4 linked regions of the Drosophila melanogaster genome follow. The protein of the gene in region 4 interacts with the protein of the main gene of each other region in a pairwise test. Each region holds a gene or a part of one and is shown on either strand. Other genes may lie near its edges. The genes, in order: CG12679, cad, CG15211 and CG31140.

What was found.
Region 1: the proteins of CG31140 (region 4) and CG12679 interact in a two-hybrid assay, tested with the Drosophila melanogaster proteins (one large-scale study listed by BioGRID).
Region 2: the proteins of CG31140 (region 4) and cad interact in a two-hybrid assay, tested with the Drosophila melanogaster proteins (one large-scale study listed by BioGRID).
Region 3: the proteins of CG31140 (region 4) and CG15211 interact in a two-hybrid assay, tested with the Drosophila melanogaster proteins (one large-scale study listed by BioGRID).

The regions. Positions count from the first base shown.
Region 1 is NC_004354.4:20,373,718-20,379,524, forward strand, and holds CG12679 (uncharacterized protein), read right to left. Parts: upstream 2,806-5,807; 5' UTR 2,676-2,805; coding exon 2,103-2,675; 3' UTR 2,047-2,102; downstream 1-2,046.
Region 2 is NT_033779.5:20,767,337-20,774,490, forward strand, and holds the start of cad (caudal), read left to right. Parts: upstream 1-3,394; 5' UTR 3,395-3,771; coding exon 3,772-4,573; intron 4,574-7,154. UniProt on the Drosophila melanogaster protein: Caudal (cad) is one of a number of transcription factors controlling segmentation of the embryo.
Region 3 is NC_004354.4:10,769,002-10,779,385, reverse strand, and holds CG15211 (uncharacterized protein), read right to left. Parts: upstream 6,846-10,384; 5' UTR 6,760-6,845; intron 6,619-6,759; exon of another isoform or gene 6,589-6,618; 5' UTR 6,388-6,588; coding exon 6,220-6,387; intron 1,426-6,219; coding exon 1,258-1,425; intron 1,176-1,257; coding exon 978-1,175; 3' UTR 405-977; downstream 1-404. Other genes in the region: Ant2 (adenine nucleotide translocase 2), read left to right, coding at 1-165; BTBD9 (BTB (POZ) domain containing 9), read right to left, coding at 8,314-8,823, 8,885-9,331, 9,400-10,038, 10,093-10,384.
Region 4 is NT_033777.3:23,959,833-23,967,324, forward strand, and holds the start of CG31140 (uncharacterized protein), read left to right. Parts: upstream 1-3,347; 5' UTR 3,348-3,391; exon of another isoform or gene 3,392-3,401; intron 3,402-5,967; exon of another isoform or gene 5,968-5,972; 5' UTR 5,973-6,758; coding exon 6,759-6,870; intron 6,871-7,492. Other genes in the region: AP-1sigma (adaptor protein complex 1, sigma subunit), read left to right, coding at 1,066-1,110.

The sequences.
Region 1 (5,807 bases), on a different chromosome or scaffold from region 4:
CGCTTCCTTCTACCTACATACTAATTAATGGAGAGACGGCTAGAATCGAGTGTCGCGACTATTAGATACCCTTTGCTCACATAGTTAAGCGCTATATGGCCTTGCATATTTTTGACAATTGGCTTTGACCCGTTTCGATTATATTTATTTCTCATCTAGAACCCCAACCGGAAGTACCACATTGATAGCACAACTGATCATCAAGATGCTGATCAACGCAGCCCGTTCCACTTCCCCAAACATAATCCCGAAAGAGTGGGAGCCTCAATTCCCCCATAGATCCAATATGGTCAATCAGTCAACCCAGACTAAGTGTGCGCCATGGAATATGGTGAATGAGTCTACCCAGTGATGCCAACATTCAAGTTCGCCTGATCGGAACGCTGAAAGGACTAGAGCGTCCTTTAGACAAGAGATGACAGGAAGTAATGGCCCTTCCTCGGGACCTCTTATTGGACCAAGACACATCACATTCCGCTCAAGATGACAAAAGGGAAAGCCTTAACCTATCTATAAAGGAACCGACTGCATATTAGCATTGGCCACATTGTGGCGATGCGATGGACTACATTTAGGATACCCAATCGAAATAAAAAGGGATATGTAGAAAAAAAACTTTCATATTCAGAAAAATGTCTTTTTTATTGGAAAGCTGATTGTTTGTATGCCAACCAAAATAGGCAGAATAATGAATAAGTCATATACCCGTCACTCGTAATATATATGCGTAATTTTAACCATTAAAAACTGAAGGGACACCATTGTAATTGCAGAAGCAAAATCTGTTCTGTTACACATTCAGGCATCATCATACCTTAACTCGCCGATATGTATGTACATATATATTATTTACTGCCTAACGTTCTTCAGACAAATGGTTATGCAAAGCGAAGATATTTGGGTATGTTTTGTGGACGCAAGCTTAAAGTGGCACCCGCATTTCTTACCTTGCACCTACCCCACTCCCTTTGCGACCCACGCGGCGTATGAGGAATGCGAAATTGCTCATACCGCCCGTGGTCCCGCATCTGAGCAACTGGGTGACAGTTGATTTGCCTGTCGGCAATGGCAGTTTGGAGCCCAGAGTCCGGAGTCCGGAGTCCGTCGTCCGGAGCACTACAGGCGGCACTGCGGGCACTGCAATTACGGCGACTGGAGATTTTTCTAAGAAAACCGCACAAGGCGACGACGGCGACTGTGGCGCCAGCATTCCAAAGTAAATTACAAACAAAAATGTTGCAACGAAAACGAAAACGGAATCGCACGCGGGCCCCAAAAGCGGAAACCACAACAGCCAACAAAAATGTAAACAAGGGCGCAGAGTCGTTGAGGGGAATTTCTTCGTTCTTCATTCTGTGGCGGAAAAAACAAAGATCCAAAAGAAAAGGGCAGAAAAAAATCAAATTGAAAATGAAATGCAGGAGTGTGGCGGTTCAAGAGCTTTGGCGGCCAAGCGACTGACGTCGTCTCTCAGTCTTTCAGTCCTCCAGTCGCCAAGGAGTGAACATCCATCCACCACCAGCACCGCCCCAAGGAAGCGGGCCACACCACCCCGCTTCCGTGGCCTTGCCTTGCCTTGCCTTGCTTATGCAATTTGGTATGTGTTTCCCAAGAAACCTTTGTTGCATTATTGCCGCAATTTGCTGAAGTGGTGACGTGAGAGCCATCACAGTGCTGCGTCCACGAATATTGCCCCGTCCCTTTCCTTCTCTGCCCTCCTGAGTCCCTCGTCCTGAGACCCCAGTCCTTCGTCCCTCGTCCGTCGTCCGTCGTCCTTCGGCCCTTGAACCGCGTCTTTTTCGCGCTGCCCCTTCAGCCAGACAGCGAACAAATAACAACTAAGTTGGCAATTTGAAGTCGCGCGAGTGAGTGAGGCTAGTTAGCCGCAGCACACCGAAGTCTGTATACCCTTGACATGGTTTATGGCTTATATAGTAGTGCTATATTGCTTATTCCTTTCTCATTGTAGATTTGTAATTCATATCCCCAAACTACAAATCCCTAGTGCCTTGTATTCAATGATAGTTGGCTCAACCAATTTCAAATGCTGATTCATCATCTTGGCTTTATTTCGCGAACCGATCAAATTTAAGTTTTAGCAATTAGCCCTCAGTGAGTGCGTAGGTCATAAGGGCCAGGATGCCGGTGTTTCCCAGAGTCTCTACAACGTTGCTAAGGCCCTCGTTGCAGCTATCGACAATTGCACCGCCGTATCTGGCGAGGAGCGCGGTGGCAGCCACACCGAAGTAGATATGGTTGCCGTCCTTGATGGCCAGATACAACGTGGAGCCGATGTTGCCCAACAGAGCGAGGTCCATCAGCGTCTCCGTGGAGCTGTCCCAGTCCTCGCTGATCTTGCCGATCATGTCGTAGAACAGTGGAATCAACGACAGGCCGTGCACCAGCGCCACTCCCGACTGATCGGATACCAGGTAGAACTCGATGTTCGCCAGTGGCAGCGGGATAACCTCCAGTATGATGGCTGAGATCATAAAGGTGCGTCCGCACTCGTCGGGCTCGTTGGCAAAGGAGCGAACCACGCCCAGCACTCCGTGGACCAGGCTGAAGGATGCCGCCAGGAAGGCATACGGATGGTCCGCCGGGGTCAGTGAGGTCATCGTGTAAATGCAGGCCAAGATCAGCAGCAGATTGACCAGTGCCCCCACCACATGCATTTTCGGCGCTTCTCTTCGTTCCTTCGAGAATTCTATCGATTCTGTCAGTCTGGTATCACGATATGCGATTTCACTTATTTGTTACGAACACAGGAACTAAAAATTTTGAAAGTTGCTACCTTGAGACTGGGGTCTGGAATGACTGAATCCAAATGACTCCCACTGGCAGAACATTGAAGACCGAGTCCAGGCCAACTCTGTTTAATCGATTTATCAACTCAGTTTTGCTAGATAAATGTTTTGAGATTTAAAATGGCCATATCATAAGCAATACACAAATGTATCGGGTTCTCGTTCTTATTCAAATACTTATACCTTTTACCTTTTACGACATACAACATGAGAATTAAAATGGCTACAAGGACTAACAATCCTCATTATGAAGTATGCTTGCATACCCTTCCTTCGTTGCAATCATTCGTTGTCTAATCCAAACCCACTTCAAATCCCGAAGTTCCTGAACCAAATATAACCAATAACCAAGCCAGTGCAGCCAGTATGCCAAGGGGACAAAGGCTGCTCATCGCCAAAGTGGCTAACGTTGGCCACCTCAGATTACGACCAGGGATGGATGTCGGCAGGGTCACTGAGTCACTCCCGGCTGAGTGGTTAGGGAGGCAGCATCAGAACATCGATCACAACACCTGAACGAACGCAGTATATAAATAACCAATCTGGATTTTGATCCGCACAAAGGACGGGAGTGGTAACCCCCAAAATCCCGAGCGCCCTTTTCGGGGCTCCAACGCTTCAATAAAACTGCAAAGTGCCAATTACAAAAATAACAAGTTAGCCCCAAAACTTATGTTGGCTTTCCGACTTGCCGTTGTTTCTTTTGCTTTTTTCCTTTATTTGCCCCGATGCATTATTAAGTTTATACCAAGAAATTTCCCGCACTGCATTGGACGTGTGTGTGTGGTTGTGTGTGTGTGAGAGAGAGTGGCATTTAGCTGGCAAGGACATTTTCATGGTTTTCCAGTCAGAGAACTGCAAGGGTGGCACTTTTTTACCACTCGACTCACACCCTACAATTTTGTGTGCGGGTGCTACTCGCCACGCACATCGCGGGTACTTACAAACACACAGTATAAATCTGAACATGCAGACAAGACACCCCGTTGTGTGCGCACCCGAATCAATACGGTGTTTTGCGTCGCGGGTGCCGCTCACACAGTGCCTAAAAAGGGATGAGTGAGAAAAACACTTGTGGGTATACCGTTAAACACATGGGTGTTTCCAAAAATACTCGGGTGTTTCCAAAAATACTCGAGTGGTCTCGTAGGTAGTCGAGTCAAATGGCGCCATACATAATGATTGTTGAGTTCTTGTGTCTTTGGTCCAGTGTCTCGGCTGTTAATTGCCCCTTTTTTGTTTTTTACGATGCAATTACTAGCTTGTTAGGATTCAGTATTATTTGGAAGCCAAAGGAAAAGGTCACAATAATGGCAGAAGCGGCTGATTTCGTTAAAAATAAAATTAACAATGGAACATACTCAGTTGCCAATAAACATAAAGGAAAAAGTGTTATTTGGAGCATTTTATGTGACATTTTAAAGGAAGATGAAACTGTTCTGGACGGATGGCTGTTCTGCAGGCAATGCCAGAAAGTGCTCAAATTTTTACACAAAAACACCTCCAATTTATCCCGCCATAAATGTTGTCTAACATTAAGACGACCAACGGAATTAAAAATTGTTTCGGAAAACGACAAGAAAGTAGCTATTGAAAAATGCACCCAATGGGTTGTCCAAGATTGTCGGCCGTTTTCTGCAGTAACCGGAGCCGGATTTAAAAATTTGGTGAAGTTTTTCCTACAAATCGGCGCTATCTATGGGGAACAGGTAGACGTCGATGACTTACTACCTGATCCAACAACATTAAGTCCTTATATTTAATAGATACTTTTTAAGCCCACTATGTTTTTATTATTTAGATTGAGACATTAAAAAACGTAAAAATCAACAAATGCCGTCTTTAATTGCAATTACTTTATGTGTTTGAAATGGGAGGCACCCATTGAGTCCATCAAAGAGCAAAGACATGAGCACAAAAATTTTCTTGGGTATTCCCTTTTACCCTTCATTTCTTATACCCGTCACGCTTCCACCCATACAAATTTTAGGCGTACAAAAAATGACCAGAGAACTGCAGCCCGCATACAAAAAATGACCTGCGGCCGATCGTTGACTGTGCGTCCACTCACCCATACGGCTCTTGCGCAGCAGGCCTCGGGTGGTTTTTTTACTCGTAACAAAAACACAACGTCGGTAAAACACTCGAGTATTTTGTGTTGCCGCAAGTAGGGTGTCAAAAAAAACGGGGTGCCTAGAGTACCGAGTGTTTATCGGGTGGACGTAGAGTGCGAGTGGCGGGCTGCAGTTCTCTGTTTCCAGTTCCGTTTCGACAGCAACTTTTTCGTAGCATACTTTTGCCGGCGCATTGATTGGCCCCGAGCATTCGTTGGACTGGCAGCAGGAGTCAACTAGCAGCTAACTTGATCCATCTGCAGGCCTCCAGCCAAAGTGCAGGATAGTACTGAATGGATAGTCCTGAATGGATAGTCCTGAATGGATGGTCCTGGATGGTCCTGGGTGCTCCTTGGGTGGTCAACTCAAATTGACTGCAGCTGGGTCCACAACACGAAGAACTTTTGCCATCGCACCCCAAAAACAATGCCGACCAGTGCCAACTTGTATTGCCGGTGGTTTAAGTTCGGGGGTTCGGGTTTTGGTGTTCTAGGGTTGGGATTAGGAAAAGGGGTAGGGAGAAATATTGACGGGGCCAAACTGTGGCATGACCAACGAAAATAATATGAAATAAATTCCAATAGAGCAGCCGAAGAAGAATGAGAAGTTGAGTGGGCTCGAGCCGGGGCCAATTGGGGATTGGGATTGGCCGAGATGAGTGGCTGGACAGGACCTGGAGCAACTGAGCTGGGGGGGTGTGTGGTGGTGTGGAGGCTTTTGGGGTTAGGCTTTAAGAGCGGACTGCAAAAGGACCGGCGAACAACAAATCCGTACAAATTGAATAAGAACTCAATCTTTGCTACTGTGCGAACAACTTTCTTGGGCGGCCAGCAGGACGAAGAGTCCTGTGAACAAGGCGGAATGATAAAAAAACACAAGCACACAC
Region 2 (7,154 bases), on a different chromosome or scaffold from region 4:
TCGTTTTCGAGGCACTCAGTAGAGCAGAGGCGAGATTTATATCAAAGCAAAATTCCTTTTGTATTTAATTTGTTTTTAAGCGAAACTTTTTTGAACTTGTTTACCTTAAAATCCTATTTTAATCCGCGCTATACATAACATTGTTAATAAATGTCTATTTTTCGACAATGACGGTATATTGAAAATAAAACTACCAAATCAACTGCTTCTCAACCAATTGATTGGCAATAATCCTGGAATATTCCACAAGAAGGCTTGGCTGCGAATCCGAAAGCAATTTGGGCTTTCCACCCATGTGTGACTTGCCGCCTTTTGTTGTTCTTCTCCACTCTAATTTGTTTTATTAACAAAGATATTTTATCGCCAATGTCGCGGCACCCATAAAGGTGCTTGATTGCGACGGCGAAGGAGGCGGTTGCTCGGCTCGTACAACGCAAAATGCACTTGCTGCGGGATCGGCTGGGGGTTGCGGGTGGGCGGAAGGGGTTTCTGGAGGGGTTTGGCCCGGCAAACGGCCGTAAAACTCTCAAAAACGTTAAACGAACCGACAAACAGCGAATGCCGCACGACAATGATACGTCTACCATCCATACATATCCATCCATCCACACTCAAATCCGTCTGGCGTCGACGCTCCACCAAGCCACAGATATAGGTTGTTAGATCGGGACTGGAACTTGGACATATCTGTAATGGTCTGATTGCCCCTTGAGTTTTATTTCGGAGTCTGCTTTATGGGCTATGGCGCTTGCTTTGCTTTCTTTATGGATTTATTAACATAATTGAGGGAATATGTATAAATACCATTGAATTCGTAGCAGGTTGTTAATGTCAATGGCGGGGACAGATTCTAATTTACGATGGCCAGATAGAGATGCATTAGAGTGTTTTACAGATTGAAATAAATCTTTCATTGCCGGAAGGGCAATTCGAAATGGATTCTCTGCTTTCGATTCAACTAATCGTCGGGGAACGTTTGTATATTATAATATTATGTATTATGTTTGTAATTGATCAACACTTTCTATTTGATGAAAAAATATTACAATCTTCTATCAAATCTTGCGTTTGTACGACCAAAATTCATGATTCATCTCGAATTTGCCGCCCAGGGGGAGTTACCATATGTTTACATAGATCACTTAGGGATTAGCCTTTTTGTGCGCCCCTAATGACTTCCAGGTAACGGCGTGTTACATGACTTGCCCGTGCCTGGGATGAGACGAGGAGCCCAGCCTTATAGAGCCCACGGGTCGTACCCTTCCAGGCCCAGCCCACGCAGTAAATTCCACCGAATTGTTGACGGTTTGCGAAAAAGAGGAAAAAACAAATCTGGGCTGTGGCTGCCTAATTGTTGTGTGAATTTTATGGGCCGATCGATGGGCAGGTCAACGCATCAGCACCACCTTACAGGCCTTGTTTGGTGTCCTCGTTCCCGTGCGACCTCTACGATCGCATCCTGGTTTCTGTATTCTGGTCTTTGGGTCGCAATGGCGATGGTTATGGCGAAAGCGATCGCGTTCGCGTAATCATAAAATCACCTTTTGTGCGCGGGCCTTCGATTGTTTTACAACATGTTTTGTCTTACGGACATTAAGGGGTTTTTTGTTTGCAAACGAACCCGAACCAGTTTTTGGTAGTTCAGCGTTAATAAGTGAGTATTGAGTACCTCCCTCGCGAGGCCAACTGCCCGGTGTGCTTCTGTTCCCGTGTTCCGCCGAGTCCTTTTCGGGGATATGTCGGTTATCCTCCATTGTGTCAGCTGCATTCACTTCTAATTATTTGACGCGACATTTGCAGTTTGCAGTTTTACGATCCCATACCGAGCATCGAACATCGCGGCAATCAATGAATTTATTTTTTACAGATTTAGAGAGGATTTCTGGAATCTCGGGATTACTCAATCGGCGCGAGCTTAGCGTTCTTTTTAGGGATTACAATTGGGAGTAGCTGTGTGGTATCGAAATTCTTGCGAAAAATTAATAAGAATGGTGTTAGCTGACCTGGAATTTGTGAGGCAGGAATATGTTTAACCAACTATACCTTATTCCAATGAATATATTATATTCCTTTGTGTAAGGAAAAATTATAGTCAGATAGTTTGAAAATAATTGGACAATGATTTCACATTCTAATCTTAGGGTATATTACATGTATAGTTTTATAATTAATGCCACAATATGAATATTTGGAATTTGTTATATTGCCAATATATTATAATAATTAGGCGCGTTTGCAATCTTATGATCACACGCGTGTCTGTCATAAATTATAAATAAATCAATTTATTTATTATTATTCAAATTGCGTTCAATTATTAGTTTTTATGTTAGTGAGGAGGTTTTGTAAATGGGTTTATTGATATTATTAATTCTTTACCGTATTGGGCCAATTTTGCCTTTTGCTTCACGAAATGGGTAACACTTTTGCTAAAGTCGTTATGAAATAATAATCGATATTTCAATTCCACCCATTTGTTAAACTTCCAGCGAAGTTTGATCGAAAATAAGTTCTCATGGGAATTTAAATTGATTAGTCATATTTTTGGTAATGAAGCTGGAAACTTTCGATTTACATTAAATGATAGATCCGTCAAAAGATCACCTCATTTTTAGTACCATCTTTTTTTTTTACATAAGCCCCTTGTATCACATCTTGCACCTTATCAATGCCAGACTTCTTCCGCTATATTTGAGTTCCCTGCGAATTTTTATCGCTGCTTACATGTCAATTATGGCATTAGCTTTACAACTAGAACCGAACAATAGTGCTTTGACAATATCGAGGCGCCCATATAAACAGCGATTGCTTGGCAAACACCAAAAGTCTGGACATCAAGTGTGTGCAGATCAAACACGGTATATGGATATGGAGAATAAAATCCGGAGGATAAAACATTGATTATTCCCCAGATAGAGGTACATATATCGCGACTATTACGACCGTGGCAACATAATTTTACAGCCACTAATTGCATAATACACACGCATCTCCGCAATTACTTAATTAGCCAACGGCAATTGCAATTAAAGTACATACAAATCGAAAGCGGGCCATAAAGGAAAAGGGGTTTTCTTGGCCAAGATATTACGACAAACTGCATACCTGGCTCAATGGGGCGTGGCCACCTGCCTGCCAGCCATCGCAGACCGGTGCGAAAGAGACGGAGCACCAGACAGACGGAGATAGCGGTAGTCAAGCACTCAGGCCATCTTGAATTTCGACCGAGCAACGGAAATGAGGGTTAAAAACGCCCAAGTAAAGGCACTGCTCGTGCGCTAGAAAGAGACAACTAGTGAGTGCCGACTGCGGTGGTTGTTTTTTTTGAGCCTCTCTGCCTGTTTATCTGATTTTCCACTGCTTTGAGTTTTTTATCAGTCGAGTCTTGCTCTACGTTTCAGTACGTGTTCGACCTGCATACTGAGTTGACGTCGCCACGCACGGAATAACATTTCAAATTAGTAGATTAGCCCTGCAAAACAAAAATCCATCTCGTGAGTGAGTGCTGAAAAATAGCGTTTCGAAATATTATCGATATCTCGGTCGTATGTTACTGTGCTCCCAAAAAACACATCACCAGCCAGTGATAACTGTAAAGATTGACAAAGCAAAATATATCCATTATAACCCAAACTGAAACTCCAGAAAATGTGCAACTAAAACATATTGGCCATCAAAGTGATAAGACTTAGAGATTAACGCCGGATTATTGGACACCGGACCGAGCACTGGGACTATCTTCGGAGAAAGCGCACCTAATCTAACCTCAAAATGGTTTCGCACTACTACAACACACTGCCCTACACACAAAAGCACAGTGCCGCCAATTTGGCCTATGCCTCAGCGGCGGGCCAGCCATGGAACTGGACGCCCAACTACCACCACACGCCGCCGAACCACCAGTTCCTGGGCGATGTGGACTCCTCGCATGCCGCCCACCACGCGGCCGCTGCCCACCAGATGTACTACAACTCCCATCACATGTTCCACTCGGCGGCGGCGGCCTCTGCCGGGGAGTGGCACTCACCCGCCTCGAGCACGGCGGATAACTTCGTTCAGAATGTGCCCACGTCGGCCCACCAGCTGATGCAGCAGCACCACCATCATCACGCCCATGCCTCCAGCAGTTCCGCCAGTTCCGGGAGCAGCAGTAGCGGTGGTGCACCGGGTGCGCCCCAGCTCAACGAGACCAACAGCAGCATCGGCGTCGGAGGAGCAGGCGGTGGCGGTGGTGTTGGCGGGGCCACCGATGGAGGACCAGGTTCCGCACCACCCAACCATCAGCAGCACATCGCCGAAGGTCTGCCGTCGCCACCGATTACCGTTTCGGGCTCGGAAATCTCTAGCCCGGGGGCGCCGACTTCTGCCTCGTCGCCGCATCATCACTTGGCACACCATTTGAGTGCCGTCGCCAACAACAACAACAACAACAACAACAACAACAATAGCCCATCCACCCATAACAACAACAACAATAACAATTCGGTGAGCAACAACAACAGGACATCGCCATCGAAGCCGCCATACTTCGACTGGATGAAGAAGCCCGCCTATCCAGCACAACCACAACCAGGTGAGTCCTTAGAGACCCAAGAATATATTAAATACAGATTTAGTGTTTTATGAGGGGGTATGATCGGTTACTTCATAACTTTATGAGTAAGGCTAATAACCTGCTTTTACTGCAAAGTTAAGGTCTATGCTTGCCATTGTCACTAGCTTGTATGAGTTTTTTTTTTTTAATCGAATGTGAAATAAGATCTTACTCACCGAAGGCTTTTAGTCCGAAAGACCTCGATTACCCGAATTTTTGTGTATTCAGCTACTTAGTCATTCCACTGACCTTCGATTCCGCGTACCCTGCGCTTGGGTTTCTCCCGCATCCGCCTGGCTACATTCCGAACCCGAAGATTCCATATTGCCCAGCACATAATGCACTGCATTGTCTTCCCGCCAAGCTCGTGCTGTTCGCGCTTTTCCCTGTCCATCTCTCACGGTACATATATGGGCTTTTATAAGAATCCGTTTGCCTGGCGCGCATCCAAGTCCAAATGGCCAATTAGCTCATAAAAATCAAATTCTGTTCAAGCTTCACTTTTATGATATTCAGTTGGGGTCGCGAGATCCCCGATCCGACGCCTTGATTTATGGCCACCCCGTGTTCACCGTCCACATGAGTGTTTCTGTTTGTTTGCTCCACTCTGTCTCCGTCTCGATTCCGATTCCATTGACTAATTTTGTATCGTAAATCAACTTAACAACTATAAGCATTTGAAAATGGTTTGATCAACTTACCAATAACCAGACAGCATTTGATGGAAAGTCCATCAGAGTAGAGGACTGGACTGTAAAGGCTTAGGAAAGTTAGGGAGTTCGGAACCTATTTCACAGCAATTAGCATTATGTGGAGTGTCTAATTGAAGGTTTCACTATTTTCTAAAAATAGTGAATATTCTGAATAATAAGTGAATAATACCCAATTCGACTCTCTTCTCTCAGTTCATGCAAATTTTCTGTGATTATGTGGATTTCTTGCGTTTTGTTTGCTGTGTTTTCCTACACCTCTGGAAAAACAAGCAAAGGCAATTCAGATGGCAGTGCAGCGATCTCAAACATGAGAAGGAATAAACCACTCACACATTTGTTCACGATTTATGACCCGGGCGCATGTCAAGAAGGGGAAAATGAAGACGACGATATCGACGATATCGACAATAACGCCGATATCCATTAAGCCCATAAAATCTGTTGGCATGCAATTAGCGTTTATGGCCGCTAATCCAGCTGATCAAGCCGACAAGGCGACTCAAGTTTGCCTTATTTATTATTATTCAAAACCCCCTTTAGCCTCCGCTGTCTGAATGTCACCTTTCTGACGCGCGACTGATTGTAATTCTTGCCGTATTTCATTTGCCTAAAAAGCACAAATATTTAAGTAAGAATAAATATTATATAAAAATAAAGTTAGATATTATTTACAGCCACTATGAGCGATCAGCAGCACCTTTTGCCAACACTTTGCTCAGGTATTATCTCTCTGGCATTTTCTTTGAATTGATGGTCTCGCCAAATCGAGTAATAATTAGTAATCTGCCTTTTCCAACAGAAGAGAAGAGGGGGGCTGTGACTAACACTTCGTGATTTTTGATAGAATTATAAAAGGTCCATTTTCCGTTGTCTGCGCGGCATGTGGCGGCATGTGGCGGCAGGGCACGTCGAAGGCCCACTTCAGCTTTCGGGGTGTGGCAATAAAACGGCAACCACGATTGTCGCTGGATGCAGATGCCGTGTACTTTTGTTTCAATGGCTGGTGGTTCGGGCGGGTTTTTCGATTAGATTAGCTAGCGTGGGGAATCAAATAAACGCCCGCCCTGTCAATAAGTCCTGAAAACCCCACCCAACCCATGGGGCTGCGAGTTCTATTTTCTGTTGCTTCAATAATGTGCCGAGTGATATGGAAACGTGGCCACAAAAAAAAAAAAAAAAAGAGTTCTTTGCGTGTTATCTAAAACGTCAAAAGCGTTGTTGATAAGCGATTCCGCTGCGTTTGCGACGGGCATATTGATTAAAACAATATAGGGTCGTAAACCAATAAAAATTAGTATTACTTCCAATAAAAACTAAATAGCGACATTTACGATCAAATCTATGCAATCATTATTAAACGGCAAGAAATTTAAGTGTCCATAGTTCAGAAAAGGATAGTTCCAACAATTCTGGTTTGCCAAAGTTGGCTAAAGTATCCAACCAATTGTATCAGTTATCCAATGTTGCCCAAATAAGGCTCCTCATTCTTTGATCCTTCGATTGGCCAACATCTCATTGCATTGAACGCACTTAGCAATACATTTTTGCTTATTAGCTGTCCGTAATTTATTGTCGTTATAATTTCTCCGGAGAACCAAATGTATCTAGGGGCCCAAGGAGTTCTTACTGGGATTGTCTGTAGATTTTCAGCATTGCCCGTGTTGGGACATAAAAACTAATGCCACCTGACACATTGAGATTTAATGTGTCAATATGCACAGAAAATTTATATCTAGCCACATAAATAATCGAAAAAGAGAGAGAGAGAGAGAGAGAGAAGGAATATATGGCGGGCTTGGATTTATATTGCTTTCCCGACGCATCTGAAAAGTGTTGTACTGCTCCAC
Region 3 (10,384 bases), on a different chromosome or scaffold from region 4:
AAGAAGTCCGAGATGGTGTACAAGAACACAGCCCATTGCTGGCTGGTGATTGCCAAGCAGGAGGGCATTGGAGCCTTTTTCAAGGGCGCCCTATCGAACATAATTCGCGGCACGGGCGGTGCTCTGGTTCTCGCCCTTTACGACGAGATGAAGAAGTACTTTTAGCCCCAGTGTGCCGCCGTTTGTGGTGGGCCAATTCGATCGCCAGCAGCAGCAGCAGCAGCCCCGGCCACAGCAAATGTCACACCACGATGGCGTAGCACCAACCGAACACACTGTCCACCTCTTCGTCGAGGAGGACTTGCTCCCACGAGCCCAGTAGTAAATTAATAATTTGATTTGATAGGTCGCCCCACATGGTGGTCGGTCCCTCATTTCAGATTGTGTTCACTTTCGCAGTGGTTGAGAAAATACAAATAATATATTGAACTCAAATCTTTGTTGTGCGCTCTTTGTTTGTTTTCATCATCGCGTGTTTTTTGCTTTTTGGTGCATGTGTGTGTACGGATTAGGGTGGGCCACATCTAACTAGGATCTAATTATCCTCTCAACAAGCTAAGCTAGTCGTTATATTCAACTATATGTGAAGGACAAACAAAAAAAATTTAATTAATTTACGTATATTATTTTGTCTCGATTGAATACATTTCAAAAAAATTACAAAATCATTATATGTACGCCATGAAATGATAAAAGGTTATGTACTATATGGGCTGCCCACCCTACTCGTTTTCGTAGATATGGTCTTGTGCGGGTGGATTTAAGACTTAAACGTTAGTTAGCCATTTAAATAAAAATAACATTAAAAACAGAAAGCCATGTCGCTTTCCATTGTCAATCTGCTGCATACGTTAATTAACAACAAAAAACAAAAGTACAAAAAAAAGAGGCAAAATTACAAGTACTCGATCTGCACTTATTCTGTAAACAATTAGAAATAACTCTAGACTAAGATCCAGTCACTGAGTTGGCTGCACTTAGTGGGTAGCCCCGGACCTGTGGGCCAGGAACAGGAAGTACGTGCCCGCCGCGTAGGCCAGGAAATTGAAGAGTCCAAAGACACCGGCGGCGGTATTCGAACCGGAACCCTTGCCCGTGGCATCCGACCATCTGGCCAGCTGGACGATGAATCCGATGAAGTACAGCAGCGTCAGCACAGCGGTGGTGATCAGCTCCTGTTGGGCAAAACAAAGTAGCAGTTGGGTGGGTTAGTTCATACTAATGATCCAGAGCAGTTAGTTGCCATTTGTCACTCACCGAGAATATCCAGTTGACGGCCACGTTGAGGGCCTCGCGAATGCCCAGGAAATAGGCGGCGATCAGCAGAATGTTGATGATGAACGAGATGACGATGACGAACATGAAGAACGAGGTGGCCGAGGCCAGTGGAGGAGCTGCCAGGGCCATGCAGATGATGCCCAGCACCTGGTGTGTATAAAAAGATGGGTAAATGTGTAAGTGTACAAGGTCGCAGTAGAAGCAATAATATACGAGTAGTTTTAAGATTCAAGCGCCATCTGTCGCATTAAATCGTAATTGTGCAGTTTTATGCAATGTCTATTTAGGGTAAAGTTGAATGCATATTTGAGATGTATAGATTGCATAGCATCTTATATTATTAGTTGTAATACATATATGTATAGTCACCCAGATCGTGATCTTCCTCCAATTGAGAGGCGCCTCTTCAAGGTCGTGATTTCGAATCTGGAGTGAGCATGTCGTGATGTCACCTTCAATTGAATGCACGCCATGAAAAATTAGAGGCTGTGCTCAGAATGTCGCCTTGTTCTCCAGCTAATTAAGCGGTGAATTCAAAGAATGCCACTGCACAGATACATAGATACATATGTACATAGATACATATGTAGCTCAGATTTATTTGGAAATGTGCTTGTAGTAAAATGGCTCAGAAACAATTAGGTACTCCATTTTACTCAACTTAACTTAAGTTTATGTCATATTTCAAACAAACTGAGGTAACAGTATCCCGTATCTATGAATGACTCAGTATATATTACCAATAACTTGTTAATATATGTATACTGAACTATCTGTAAGTCATTTTCGAGAACCTTATCGCATTTCAAGCAAATTCGCAGGGCGATTTCGTGAGTTAGGAACACTAAGATCATAAAGCTGGATGACAGGTGCCGATGATGACACACATTCGTGGTTGTTTTAGGCAATTAAATGGCAATAAGCTTTTGGCGACACAGCAACAAAATAAGAAATCAAACAGGTGTGCGCAGTCAGTCGACTTGAGCATTGTGTTTTTGGCTAAAACAAAAGGTACACGAAAAGTGAAAGCTGAAAGTTGTAGCCCAGGCCAAAAGCGACCTGTTGATAGCAACATCTTGTTGTTGTCCCCTTTGTTTTTTTTTTTGTGTGTGTTTCTTATTTGCTATCTGGTAAACAATTAACTGCACAGCAGCCGCATATCAAAGGTTGATTGAACTGTCAGCGATTTGTTGAGATTTGTTGATCTTGGATCTTGGATTCATGCATTTTCCAAATGGTGTTCGTATTCTTCATTTGACTTATATACTTTTTTTTTTAGCCTCGCACTTGTGATCCACAAATGTTGTGCGTCACTTTTCAAAAATAAAAGAGCCAGAGAGAAATTCGTCTGGGAATTATACGAATTTTATCTTTTCTAAGCATAATTTATGGCGGGCTTTTTATTTTTATTTTTACTTCTGCGTATGCATACATAAGGTATATATAACGACAAGATTGGCATATATATACACATTTGTATGTGTTAATCAGTTCTTATGTGCACGGTTGGAAAGTTCTTATAACCATATACATATAACCATAATCTTTAGTTCCATGGCAACGATCAAATTGCCTTGTGGAGCATGAAAAACTGCGTAGAGAGTTGGGTGCATCTGGGTATATCGATCGGGGCAGCAACATAATTATTTACTTTTCGAGCGAAATTCAATGACGCGAAACGCCACTGAAATGGATCGAGTTCTTGGCCTCCGATTATACGGTCTACGGTTCCTAGCCGCGTCTGCCTCGTCTGAAGTTCAATGGAAGCCACAGAAATTCTAGTGGTCGCACATAAACAACAAGATCGTTAGATTACAAACTTCCAACTACATATGTATAAATAATGTTCTTTCTTCGAAAGCTTAAAGTTTAAACAATACCTGTAAGCTAATATCCTCGCAATGTTTAACAAATATTCCAATTGTGGTGGTACAAATATATATATAGTTCGAAGTTAATGGACAACCATAACTGGATTATCTAATAGAAGGATCAATGCCCTTGAATTGTATACATACATATGTATGCCCTCCCTTTTGTTGGCTAACAATCTGTTAACAGGGCCAAGACGGAGCTTCAAAGATGAGCTCACTTTCCTGAGCGCCGTACACTTAGTCAGCGTCAATTACCTAAAATGTACCCAAGCACACAGTTTGCAAACACACACGTATTTGCATAGCCATGTGCACTTAGTGCAGTCCGTTTCGCAGCTGTAAGGCAAGACGCTAACTGAAACTTATAACTGAAAAGGGATAAGATTTGAGGTTTCAGAAAAAGTGCGCCCATAAGATAGTAGCAATATACAATTTATATTTCCGATAGTTTAAGTTAACTGCTTTCGGCTACAAGCCAAACAGCCTACGTTTATGGCATGCACTGTACATGATGCCACAACGATCGATCGCATTTTCATCAACAAACCGCCAACAAACGCCAGCATCTGTCTAAAGTGACTTTCGGCTCGAATTCCCCAGATCTCTTCGCCTCCCCCGCATTTTTGTGGTTAACAATTTCTTGAATGACACCCCGTATTTGTGTCATAATTTCCGCTTTTGGCTAAAACATTCGTATTAAAATTAAAATCCACGACAATGCTACAATGCCAAACAATAAGAATGCCGTCGGCAGCTTCCAAAATACACGTCTTACGTAATTAGGCTATTATAAAAAAAATATTCTCGAACGGCAGGGACCGCGACCAACAAAACTTAATAATAAATCGTTCTCTTTCCGAATTTGCATATACTCGTAGATATTCCGATGTGTATGTACGTATATATGTATATAGAGCACACTTGGCCATGGAATGCATATATGCTTGGGGCATCGCGTGAATATGTATGGTAAGTAAATTGAGGCAATGCTGGGTCCAAAATGCTAATTGCCAACGATAAGATACGAAAGAAGCGTTATATTTCGGGGGCTTTGTTGTTGTTGTTGTTGTTGTTGGTATGATTTGGGACCACTGGGCGGATGAGTATGTGTAATGGTCCGTGGGCAAATTAACGATCGGCAGTCAGGTGTCAGGAATCGATTGGCTTATCAGCAGGAGCATGGCTACCGAAAATATCGTCGGTCTGCTCCTCTCCGCTCGCAAACAGGTGGTCGCCACATTATCGTCCACTTTGTTCGGATAACGGTGCGTATGAGTAACGAGCGATTAGCTATGGCACTCAATATATTCGCAGAATTGTTCGAAATGAGTCACAATCGGTGAAAACAGTCAAAACTGCAGTCAAATTCGAACTATAGTACCAATAATCTAATATAATTTAGTTAAGCTCAAGAAACAAAAGTCTTAAAATAGATAGCCATGAAAGTGGTCAAGTTTCCCGCCATTTGGCCCAATTTGAATTATTTATTTAACGGGCTTAATACCTATCAATTGGCATTTGGGAAACGAGCAGCTGCAATTACGGCCCTGTTTTTGTGGCAACTCTCAAGTGGAGCACTTTTACATATTTCACACTGCGCTGAGACGACTATCAGCAGACTATCGCTTAAGGGTACCGATAAGATTAGTTGCCACAAAAATATCCCAATCGACAGGCACACCGCTAACCGAAAAAGAAAATTAACTAGCCATTGGTGAAATCAAAGCATATTTGAATGACAAGTATTTGCTTTCCTTTTTTGGTCAGATTAGTATATGAATTGGAAATAAGTCCTACCAGAACATCCGCAAATTACTTCGTCAGCCGTCAGCTAAACTAGCTTAGTCGCCTGATAATAGCCGATTTTCAGAACAGAAAATCAATATATATAAGTTAATAAACGACAGCTTATTGTGACGGTAATCATATCATCGAAGCACCCAGCACTCCTCCCATTTATCCGCTATTGATTTTCTCCGTAACAACTGACGAGCGCTTAATAATGCATTTTTCATGTGGGTCCCAAGCACTTGTCGTTATCCCTTGACCTTGTGCCCACCAAGCGTTGGCCCATTGAGAATAGAGAAATTTTTGCCTGAAAACTTTCTACACCTGAGCAGGTGATCCATCCGAGCGGTAGTTGAGTTACCCCAGTGCCCACTCATATAATTGCGAGTACCTTGTGTTGGCGTCGCATACCGATTGCATCGCCCACACTTTAACTTCATTTTGCTGCGGATTTGTGGGAAAAAAGATAGATCATACATAGCTTCGAATACCAGGCCAAATGCGTTAAGTGTTTAACGTCTGTGGAATACAAGAAGAGGGCTATGAGTTGACCACATGGCCATGGAGCTCACATGTTTGCAGTTCCTACAACTTGTCTACCCCTATCTTATCCGTCGTAAGTCTAATGAGATCCTGACATATGTACACACAAAAGGGGCAAGTGCACAACACACTTGTTGTCGGGCATATTGTATACATATTTGTGTAATTGAGTACACATCGAGGCTCTAGGGTTTCTTAAGTCTCGAGATATCTCGATAAAGAATGGTGGCGGAAGGCAAACTCTAGATAAAACCGTTCAATTTATGACGATAAGAGTGCTATGAGGAATTCTAACTTTTCTCTACAACAATTATCCAACGTATATTTTAATATTTCCCTCTGAAACTTTATGTTTCGAAGGCTCTATCAGTTTCGAGGAAATACGATAACAGCCAAATTCGGAAACTTATGTCTGAATTTAGCATTCCACAAAATAATGTATGTACATTATGGTACTTTTTCAACATAATCGCATTCCTAAGTTCTATTTAAACCGACATTTATGCATATTTTAAATCTAAGAGTTTAGAAACATGTAATGTACATAATTTTGATATGTTTGGAAATTTGGCCCAGTTTTTGGTTTCAGTTTTTAAAAGACTTCTACTCAAGTGGATCGTATTCAATAGTTTCGAAATATCATATGTTGCAATATTAAGTATTAGATTTTCATTTGTTTTATAATGAATTATAAAAATATAGTAGTGATATATCTCAGCTAGTTGTATGTACTCACAAACTCCACAATTTTGATGATGCCCGGTATGGTGCGGAAATAGTCGATGTTGAGGCGAATGGCGCTCCAGAAGCCGCCACCGCTGCCAACGGTCGGGTTCGCTCCACCTGGCGGTCCGTTCGTCGTTGTTGTTGTTGTGCGCTCGATATTGACAACGGTCTCGACCATATTGTTGCTGTTTATAGTTTGGCTTGGCTTAGTTTCAGTTTCAGTTTCAGTTTCAGTTTGGCGGGCAAGTTTACTTTATTAGCTGGGCACAACAACTATTTTTAAACACTTGTCGCGATTTTTGTCACAATAAAATAAGATGAGAAAAATAACCACCGCTTTCTATATGTTCGCTGGTCGATCGGCAGCTACCCTATATATCTATATCTGATGTATATGAACGCGTGTGACGCCCTCGCGCGAGTTACCACCCCACCCCCTAAACCCCCACGCCTCTAATTCTCAAATATATATATAGAGATATATGCCGCGTGTGGTGGGTATATTTGGGTATGTGGTGAAATGTGTGTAGTTTAGTATCTGGTAGTTAACTGTAGCTATATATCCATGAGCTGCGCTGCGATTGCTTTGGCGTTACGTTGCTTTGTCCACGGCGGCCGCTGGTCGACTGAACTGAACTGCGAGCTGAACTTGCCGCCGCTGCAGGCTAACGGTTAACCGCACGCCGCTCCGCTCCACACTAGCGCACTCACGCTCGCTCTCCCACTCCCACTCGGACTTACACTCACATTCGCGCTCTCCCAGTTAGTTAGTTAGTCAGTTGGCTATTTAGTTGCGCGCGCCCTTTGACGACGCCCCTGCAACGCCCTAAATAGAACCACCCCCCACCCCCCTTAGTTGCCACTCCCCGCTGCTTGTGGGGCAAACTAGTTTGTTGCGCCTGCGCCGCTAACTGTTATAATCGGCACAGTGGGCCAGATTGACCGTATTGTGTGATTGTGTTCATTCCAAAATAAAAGTAAAACTATTAAATAAATACAGTTGTCTAGATTTCTCAATAAAACATTTACATTTTATTAAAACCATCCGTACAAAATATGCAATATATATTATTAAATCATGTAGACAACGCGGCGTATGAGTAATATTTTCTTTTTTTTTTAGTTTTCTTCAAGAACCCACAAATTCCCGTTTGGCTAGCACTGCATTTCGCCATCTCTTTCTGATTCGCTCGCTGGATCGGCGTCCCTCTCTCTCTTCCCAACGCCCACTGTGCGTCGCAACTGGTTTAACGTTCTGATTCGACTTTTATGGCTGCCGCTGCAGCACGGCCGTGGGTCGCCTCTGATCGGAATTTCAAAACAGTGGAGCGTGTTGTGGATGTTGGGGCAACAGTGGGTGGCATGTGTGGTGCACAGTGGTCACACACGGCACAATTCGTGGTTGAAATGTGTGAGGGACTTTAAAAATTTTATAAGAAACCGATTGGTTTGCAAGTGAAACAATAAGCGGTGTTTTCATTTTTTTGGTTAGCTTTTATTTGCGTGCAATACAAACTATGACAAAATTTGCCTAATAAATAGAGCCTAATTTTTGGGCCGCTCGATGAGCCTAAAGACTACGAGTTGCGGATCAAATGGATTGATTTGGACAAGGACATGGACCGGACATAAGGCTAGACAGTACAGATTTATACTATGCGATCGGATATCGTATACAATTTTGGTTCAGCTGCTCGGAAATCGCATTCGAGTTCGCGTTAAACATGTGTGTGTGTGTGTGGTGTGTGTGTGTGGTGTGTGTGTGGGTGGGTGTGTGTGTGCATAGAATTCAGTTATATTGCTTATATAAATAACTCTGCTGCCTTGCAAACATAAGGAATTATTTTTGGATCACAATAAAATTATAAAAACATATATCTATATATATATATATGTATATACATATAGTATATAACGAAGGTAATAACGCAAAACCAATATGCAATGCACAGGTTTTGGAACCACCAAGCATTGGGGCACTGGGAAGGACTAGATAACAAGAGCAGCACGGTCTGCAAAATATAACTAAGCGCGGAGACTAACAGCTAACAGACCACAGGAGTATTTCAAGTACAAAACATTATCGGCCGCAGCGGCGATCAGCTCAGAGCGTCTCCCTGGTGTCAAGCTCAACCAATGGCGGCACTGGCTCCAACTCCGCACTCTGGCTTCTGCTCCTACTTAGGCTGGGACTGGGGTTGCTCCTTGAACTTGGACTGGTGTGGTGGCTTGCGTCTGCACTGATATTACTTGGCTGATTTTGTTCATGGTTGTTATGCGGCGACGAGGTTGCCGGGGTCAGAGGAGCCGGAAGTGCTGGCGTGCCGGGCGGGGAGAGTGCTGGCGGAGTGAGTGGGGCAACGGCCACTTCCCTTGTCTGTGGCGGCCAGTGGATGGACCTTAAAACGCTTTGGCTGCTGCTGGAGGAAGTGGAGGGACTTTCAGCATGGCCTGAAGCCAACGAGGATCCCGAGGTAGAGGCAATATTGTCATCGTCAGTCTTGGCCGTCTTCTTCTCCTTCTCCCTCTTCTCGCGCTCCTTCTCCATGTCGGCTATCTTCTTTAAGTAGTTTTTGTCCTGGGTCGGACATTCGAGGTGGACGCAGTGGAAGATCTAAGAGCAAGGAGAGCATTAGCTTATCGGACATGTTTTGTGGCGCTGCACTGCTACGTACCTCATTCGCTGTGTTGCGTGTGCCCACAATGCGGATATAGACCACTGGACGCGGAGTAAAGTGAAAGTTCTGCCAGGAGCGGGTCCTGTCGTTGCGGCGGTCCACGACCATTTGCCATTCCTTGCGGTTCGTCGAAATTTCGATGTAGAAGCTGTAGGTGCGATCATCGCAGTCCCACAGCAACAGCCTCATTGAGCCCAAATAGTAGGGTTGGCCCAAACGGACGACGATCTCGCCGCTGCCCAATTGGTGGCAAGTATATCCCGAGTCCCAGTCGTAGCGCACATAATCGCCGTTGATAAGCGCGTTGCGGGTGCGACTCACGCCGTCCGTCACAATGGCGCTCATCTCTACGGTGGCCACGTTCGTCTTGGGCGCCACAAAATGGTTAACTAAACGCGGCACCTTGGCCGTGTGCATGGCTTCCAGACCCACAACATGGAATACCTATATATTAATGGAAAGGGAAAAAGTTAAAGAATGGGGAAAGTTTGAAGAGATCACTGCTGACTTACCCGGTTTACAGTGTTCTGGGTGCCCACCAGTCGAATGAATCTGACGGGTCGTGCTTCGAAGTATAAGTATTGCCAGGAGCGGCAGTGGTAGTCGCTGTAGTCGACCACGCGATCCCAATGCTGCTGGTCGCCGGACACCTCAACGTAGTAGGAGTACGCCCGGCTGTCTCTGTCCCAGAGCAGCATGCGAATGTGATTGATCATGCAGAACGTGCCCAATTCGACCACAATGCCCGCATCTTTGCTGTCCGTAATGCAGTGGCGCGTATACCCGTTCTCCATGTCATAGGTGGTCACATCTCCATCCAGCAGCGCGTCGCGACACTCTCCCTGGATGCAGCGCGACAAAAACGTCTCCGCGGCCACGTTTTCCTCCGGCCAGAGCGCCGCCCTGTAGGGCAGCGCCTTTGAAGTGCTGCGCTCGTCGATGGCGTCGAGAATCTTGTCGGGATCCAGGATGCCCGAGGGACGCACCACCTGCAGCAGATGCTCGAGGTTCATCAGTGGCAGGCGGACATAACTAACCACGGACTTGAAGTCCACGTTGCTATTGAAGCGGCTCCACTTCCACACGGCCAAAAAGATCTGCACCTCGGGGGCGAAGAAGCAGTCACGCCGTAGTACCTCCTCCAGCGATTCCTGTAAGCATTACATACTCTTAGTGCCAACTTTACCAATTGGTTGTGAACTTACCTTGGATAGCGTATTGAAGCTGTTGTGCAGCAGCAGGTCGCCGGCATTGCGATCCATGAACATTAGGCAAACCTCGGTGAGTTCCTCTAGATTGTATAGACGCGCCGCATCAAGAATCATGCAGACATTGTCCAAGGCCAGATACTGGCGTAAATAATTCGATATGGCCATCTCCAGATCCTGGAAACCATACTGATTGGCCATGCCCAGCACATCGATGGTGGAATCCTCGTCCAATGTGGACAGCAGCAGTGTGCCCGAGTAAATGTAGCGCAGCAGCACCTTGAACGCT
Region 4 (7,492 bases):
TCTCTAATCTGTGCAATCAAAACTAATCTCTATAAACAAAACAACTCTAACCACTCGAAGCAAGAAGAGTTCTTTTACTCGCTGCAATAGATCCTAAGTCCAGTGTGCGTGTGTGTCCTTGCAGCAGCGTTGTCATTATCTTTAAGTTCCGAATCTGATGTAAACCACCTCGGCTGGCACACACGCACTCAATCGATTTTTTTATTTGCATGCCGTCTTGAGTTTCGAAACTTGCCTACTCGAAAACGAATTGTGAATTGTGAGAATCTACCAGGAAATATTAAATCGCCACAGTATTGAACTTGCCATAGATGTTGCTGTGCAGTAAAACTAAAACAAAAACTAAAACCTTGTTTGCCATTTATAGTACAATTTTTAGCCTGTGTTTATTTTGTGACCGTAACTCTTGTAAGTCTCCTAACCCGATTTGTAGCAATATGTCGATCGTAGTTGGCTTGATTATTTTGCATGACCTTTGTAGATGAATTTCTAATGTTCAACTAAACATATTCTTGCCATACCATAAGCCATATATAAATGTGTAACCCATGTACCCTCTCTCTTGTTATTATTAACGCTTACCCTACCCGCCACTGCATATATCGATGTTAACACAACTACTACCACCACGAACAACCACCACAGGACTTCAATGAGTATCTCAACTAATCAATGAAAACAATAAATAAATACCAAGAAGAAAAGAAAACCCATCCCAAAGAAACAGTGTAAAGAACATAAAGTTATATTCCCGATCTGCAAAGAGTTAGTGGAGAGTCGATAGGTCAGATCAGTCAATCCTTCGTCCAGCTGTATATATATGTGTATATTGCCCAGCTTCTATTTCCCTGCCTTCCCCGCGCTGCGCTGTGATGTTCATCCATATAATATGCATTTCGTGTTTCCAAGTTGTGCCGTACATGAAAGAAAAGCAAAACAAGATCGAAATTGGTTTCTTTTTTGGACACATTCTACTTACACATACACCTACTACTCTTACTACCACTACTACTCTCTTTCCTTCTACTCTTCTCGTTCTTATTGTTCTTATTCTCTGTACTCCAGGACGAAGCCGTTGAGGGCACTTTAAGAGACATTGGACTCCTCTAAAGAACTAGAACACCCTAGAAATTATGTAGTTGATATTACACGCACACCCCGACACAATAACACACACAGTTACACCCCAGCGATAACGTGTGCTGCACTTGGCACTTTACAGCACTGCTCCATCCACTCCTCAACACTAGTGTGTGATTTGGCTGTTGTACAGCACTGAAGCGCTGAAAAAAAAATTATAAGCAAGAAGACGCCAAGCAGCGTGAGGCTCCAAAAAGCAATAATACTATATAGTAACATCAGAGCATCTGGTATGCGGTTTTTCATACACTCTATCTCGTAAATTTCACGCACAGACACAATAGATTCAGAAAAGTTCATGCAAAACAAGCCAACCTCACGTAGTTCCACCTGGGGTTCCTGAACTGAATTAATATTCCTCTTCCTATCTACATTTTATAATCGAAAGATCATTCCAATCAATCACCAAATGGGCAATAACTAATTTAGTGGGGAAATATATGCAATACTATTCTTACAATAGAAACATGTAAGCTTTAATGTTGATTAAATGAGAACGATATATAATTGAAAATTGTAATAATAACCGAATAAAAAAATCTAGTTTATCTATATCTACAAGTATATATATATATATATATGTTTATGTATGTGTGTTGTACGTTTTAGCCAAATTTTCTGTGTTTTGTAACTGAGAAAAACAAGTTAAAATAAAAACCAAGTATTTTTGAAAAAAAAATCCTAATTGTACTCGTATGCTATATGAAAATGGTAAGACCTGGTGAACCTCAGTTTTCTTTTTAGTGTCTTTGTTAAACGTTTAGTTTTGATTGTTGTCTTTGCTGTTGTTGTGACTGACCAATTTGACTGCTCTAAACTCTTGACGCCCACATTGTTCCACCTCCACTGATCTGATCTCTGAGCTCCACTCCCTCTAAACTGTCTATCTACCTATATGTCTGGCTTAGCGCACCCGTTTGGTGTCCTTTCGTTTTTAGTTGCTACTATATACCACCCTTTTTCATAGTCTTTTTCATAGTTAGCCCCCAGTATCGATACTTTTATTTGGTTTCCTTTTACCCCAAGCGCTGTAAAGTATAGTAACATGTAACTGAAGCTAAGCATTCTCCCTTTCCAGGATGAGACCCCGCAGAGTTTCTTCGACGATCACGGCCTGGGCTAAGTTGGCTCTATGCAAAAGTAACGCCAGAAAGGCATTATCTATATTGAACCCATTTAAAGTCGCCTTAATTGTATGTGTATTTAACGTAACCCAAAAGTATACCGGTTCTATTGTAATTTAACCACCCTGTGTCAGCATAAAAAACATTGTGTATAGAAGTGCTGTTAAACCTATTCCTAATTTCGCTTGGCAAATGCAATTTGCAATACATTTAATTTCACAAAAAAGCATCAATATCGGTTGCTCACACACGTTCATATTTGTAAAGATTAACTTAATGATAAGCAAAGTAAAGCGATGCGATTAATCGACGGTGTGCTCAACTCTATAGTTGTAAGTTAAAAGCCCTATAAATATATAAAAATTGCTGTATCCAAAGTAACCAATCAAAACTCTGTTTACTTTATGCATTCTTTGCTGCAAATAAAGATGGTATCGAGCGTGAGAGTTTTTATATTTCAGTACTACTCTTTTCTGTTGGGACAATAGTACGTCATGGTTATGACGCGGAATAAGCACAAGAAAGTAGGCAATGGTTTTTGAAAAGTTCGTTTTTATGAGATTTTACTAACTTAAATTATAAAATATAAGAAAATGCATTTTCTTACTGATTTTAATATTGAATGTAAAACTCATTTTTTTCAAAAAACCTACATTTCTAACCTTCAATTAAGCCTTAATTTAAAATAATGGTCGTTCTTTGGGCCAATTTCCTCTCTTAGCTTGGCCACATTTATTTTGGGGCCAAGTTGGCAGCTCGCCGACCAACAAATTGTTGATTTCATTTTTATTTGGGGAGGGGGGGTCGCCAGAGAGCATCCTGACTGCGAACGAGAGAGATAGAGAGCGACCTGGCTCTCTCCCTAACGGGAGCTCCCCAACATTTCCCCCTGTTTGTTGTTGGGCACGCACGCACACAGGAATTCGGCGAACTCAACACACTCAGCGTCGAGCGAGAGGGCGCGATTGGCCCCACGGCGTGTGCGAGCGGGACGCAGCGAGAGCGCCAGGCGGAGCAGCGGCGAAGGCAGCGATAAAGGCGCTGCGCCGCGAGAAAGTTGCAGACCCGTCCGCAGAGCGCACCATCGTCTTCAGCGGAGCACACACAGCAGCTAGGTGTGCTCTTCCGTACGTAACGGTTGCGGATTTTCACTGGATTTCCATTTTCACACAGCCAGCACACAGGAAAATTCTCACACACTCGCAGCGAAAAAGTGCATAAAACGCGTGGAAAACTCGGGGGAAATCGCGATGAAAACTTGCGAAAAACTCGCTTTAACTCGATTGCTGTGCGTGTGAAAATTTTCCATCCGGTGAAGGAAAAAAAATTCGAAAGTGCGGCTAGAAAAGAAAAACGAAGGAAAAAGCAGCAGCGCCAGCAGCAGCAGTAGCAGGCAGCATTAGTGGCAGTGTGAAAATCGAATGTGCAAAATTTTGCAGCTTCAAAAATGTATGGTACATAAAATTTCTCTCTCCAAAATCGCGAGTGTGTGTGTGCGCGTGAAAATTACGTTGTCATATGTGCCAAGTACCAAGAGTTTTCCAGGCCCCACTTTCCCATCCGAAGCCAAAGTTTTAACAAATTAACTCCTTCGTGTGATTAGCAATGAAAATGGAAAAAGACAAGGCCACACGCACTCCGTCCAGATACATATATATTCGCATATATATACCAATCAGACATATATATATATACATACATATAGATGTGGTGGCAAGGAATCAAGCCGCGCCAGCAAAAGAAAGAAAGAAAAAAATTCTCTATCTATTGCGATTTGCTCATGCGGCCCGAAAAGAGCGAAGCGCGCAGCATTGGGTGGGAAAAGTGGGTGGCAAGTCCAGAGGGGGAAAGGGGTGGGGGCGTCAGTGGGCTGGGTGGGCGCCACTACGGGTACGAAGTACGGCTGCTTTGTCTACAGTTGTAGAGTGTGTGTGTATACACAGCCTCTGAAATCTATATATCTCGCTTTTTTGGGCCCCCCATTAGCATCCATAATTTTCCGTTTTTTCTGCTTCTGCGCCTCTCCCAGCCCAAAACAAAACAATAATTTCCCTAAGAAAAGCAAAGCCGCAAAGTTTTCATCACCCAACCCCCAAATTGCCGCCCGTTCAACGCATTTGTTGCAAAAATATTGCTCGTTGTGATTTATCCTTAAACTTGGCCACTTTCTTTGAAACGCTCCGTCGTGGTGGAGTTGAGTTCGCGCGAGCGAGTGTGGTGGGTTCCGGAGTGCGCATGTCGCCAGGACATCGCCTGGTGGCCAGGATATATGGACACGGGAAACGGGTCCTGGACATTCCACGTCGTCAGGCTGGCTCCAAACTCACAGTTGCGGTGCAAATAATAGTACCGTCAAGTCCAAGTTCACAACTCATTTCTCAAGTTCGCAGTACTTCTACTTCAAGGGTTAACAACTTTTTTTTATAGAAAGTAACTGCGTATGTGGATTCCAGTTTTATAGATATTCCTTGATTCCATCTATAATCTGCTTTAAGTCATCATAACTACTATAATTTCGTGTAGGTGCTTTTCTGCGCACACAAACGATGCGTTAATATCAATATTCGATAGGATCGAATATCGAACTAAAATTTGAGGGTTTTAAACAATAGGAAACTCATATCTTGTTGTCACAATAGATAGTTATAGAATTATGAGCTTAGGACATAATTCGATGTAAAATCAATGCTAAAAACATGTCATATACACTAAATAAGGACCAAGATCCTTGTGCTTGAGGGCCATTATGCCGACCTTAACTTTGCGTATACACACAATGCGGATTTGTGCGCCTTCCGTTAGCTATCGTTTATTGTCATCAAGTTGAAAACTTCAAGTGTCGTTACCTTTGTTTCCGTCTATTATTAGGACCTGTATGATATAATATTTGACTGGATTGTCCTTGGCCATACCCGCTGGCGGTGGGCGGCCTTTGGCTGGGAGGGGGTGGTGCTGGGAAAGTGGGTGGCGGTGGTAATTGGTTCGTCGCAGAACATGTTGCATACTTGAGGGCGCCGCAGCTATGGAAATTGATAGAATCGCTTTGGGTGGGAGAAATTGAAGCAATGCAGTTTGCTCTAGCTCCCTCTCTCGCTTTCTGTGCCACTCTCTCTTTCTCCTTTTCCCTATGGTTCCCTTTCTCCTTTTCCCTGCGGTACACGCTGTTGATATCATATTTTTGCCACTTCTATTATTATATTGATGTCTACTACTTTTTTATGATGCTCCAAGAATACTGGGAACTTTTTTACCCAACTCACCACGCATGACGCGTGCCTTCTCTCTCGCGCAGCCCCATTTCTCGCTCTCTTTCTAGCTTTCTCTCTCTCTCTCTCGCATTTCCCTGTGGAAACTCCCGCTCTTGTGGATTTTATTATCGGGAAACGTTTTCCTTTCATTTTTTGGCTCTGCTGTTTTTTTCTTTTGGGGTGTGCGGCGCCCACGTATCAGCGCAGAAAAGCGGAAAGTGGAAAAGCAAAGGAACGAGCGAAGTCGAAGAAAAACATTTTCCGAGCTGCTGCTGCTGCTGCGACTGTTCGTTTTCGGTAGTAGTAAAGTGAAGACCGCCCGCCGAGTGAAGTGTGCCTACGTGTGTGTCCGCGACTGTGTGTGCAGTGCTATATACAAAATTCAATTGGAATTTATTTATTTCAAATGGCACACATAAATTCTAACAAGCAATTATCAAATTTATTTTGTTTAGTGCAGCGCCAGAAATTGTAAATAATTAACAGTTAAAAACTCACCACCAAAAGAAAGTTATAAACGAAAACGCTTAACCAAACCAAAGATGCATGAATATGAATCAAAGCAAATATGATACATAGCCAATATGTATATAGAAACTAGTAAGGATAAATAAAGTTCAAAGCGAGGAAAAACACCGATCCCGACAAGCAAATGTCCGGATAAGGGAGCCGCTACCTGACCAATGGATGAAAATGCAGCCGTCGTCGCCGTCACTTTCGCCGTCGTCACTATCGCATCGCTTTTGTCAGCAGCAACAGGAAAAGTCGGAAAAGCACCAGCAGTACCAGCAGCACCAGGAGCAGCAACAGCAGCAGAAGGAGCAGCAGGATCAGAAGGAGCAGTCCTGCCACGCCCACGCCAATCGAACGCCCTCGGTCGGTACGGCAGCGCTGGCTCAGCTGGCGTCGACGCCCGCACCGGCAGCAGCGGCCTAAATTGCCCAACCGCAAGAATCCCACTTCGAAATAGCCCATATACACAGCAGCAGGCGATATTGCAACTGCAACACATACTGCACTCGCAGCAGCCGCGAATACTGCTCATATAACTGCAACATCGAGAGACCTTTGCCGCTGCAAGCGCAACAGCAACTGCAGCTGCAACAGCATCCTCCAGCAGGACAACGCACAAAAAACCCACTACGCATAAGGCAACGGGGCATAAGGAGGCACAAGGAGGCGCAGGAGGATAGACCGGAAGCAGAAGGACAGGAAGTGGGGCGGGCTGCGGACACAGGCAAACAAAATGGCGGATGGTGGGCATTCATTCGTGAAGAAGACATTTCATAAGCCAACATACTGTCACCACTGCTCGGATCTGCTCTGGGGCCTCATCCAGCAGGGATATATCTGCGAAGGTAAGCACCGAGCTAGTACAAGTACTTTAAATATTTTCAATGAGATCACAGGATATCCCACATTTTTTTATTCATATTTATTGCGTAAGCAATTTGATCAGAAAGGCATATCTTACATTGGATTATCTCCTTCAAGATAATCGTTAAAACTGAATTTTCTATATGAAACTACATCTTTCGTCCATCAGTTCTCAATTCAGTCTCAACGGCCGCAATAGAAATAAGTTGTAATTAATGAGCACTAAACAGAACCGAGAAAACGCAGCACGCAAATCATCGAACATCTTCAACGCCAGCGGCAGATGTAAAAATACATTTCGTCTAGTTTTGAAAATACTTTTTAAATTGCCATAAACTTGGAATGAAAATGCGGCCGCTGATGATGTCGATGAGGATGAGGCAGTAGTGGGTGGCATAAACATGCACAGAATAGCGAAATATAGGAATCTTATCATGAAATGATTACTATTATTTTGGATAGTATATGTGAAGTGTTCAAAGCATCAGTAAAAAGATTTAATAACTTAATTGGGTGAATGTATATCTTGACATTTATCAGAAAAGGTTTGCTATTGATAAAATAATAAAGTAATGTAGATTATCCGAACCGAAAATAAAGCAA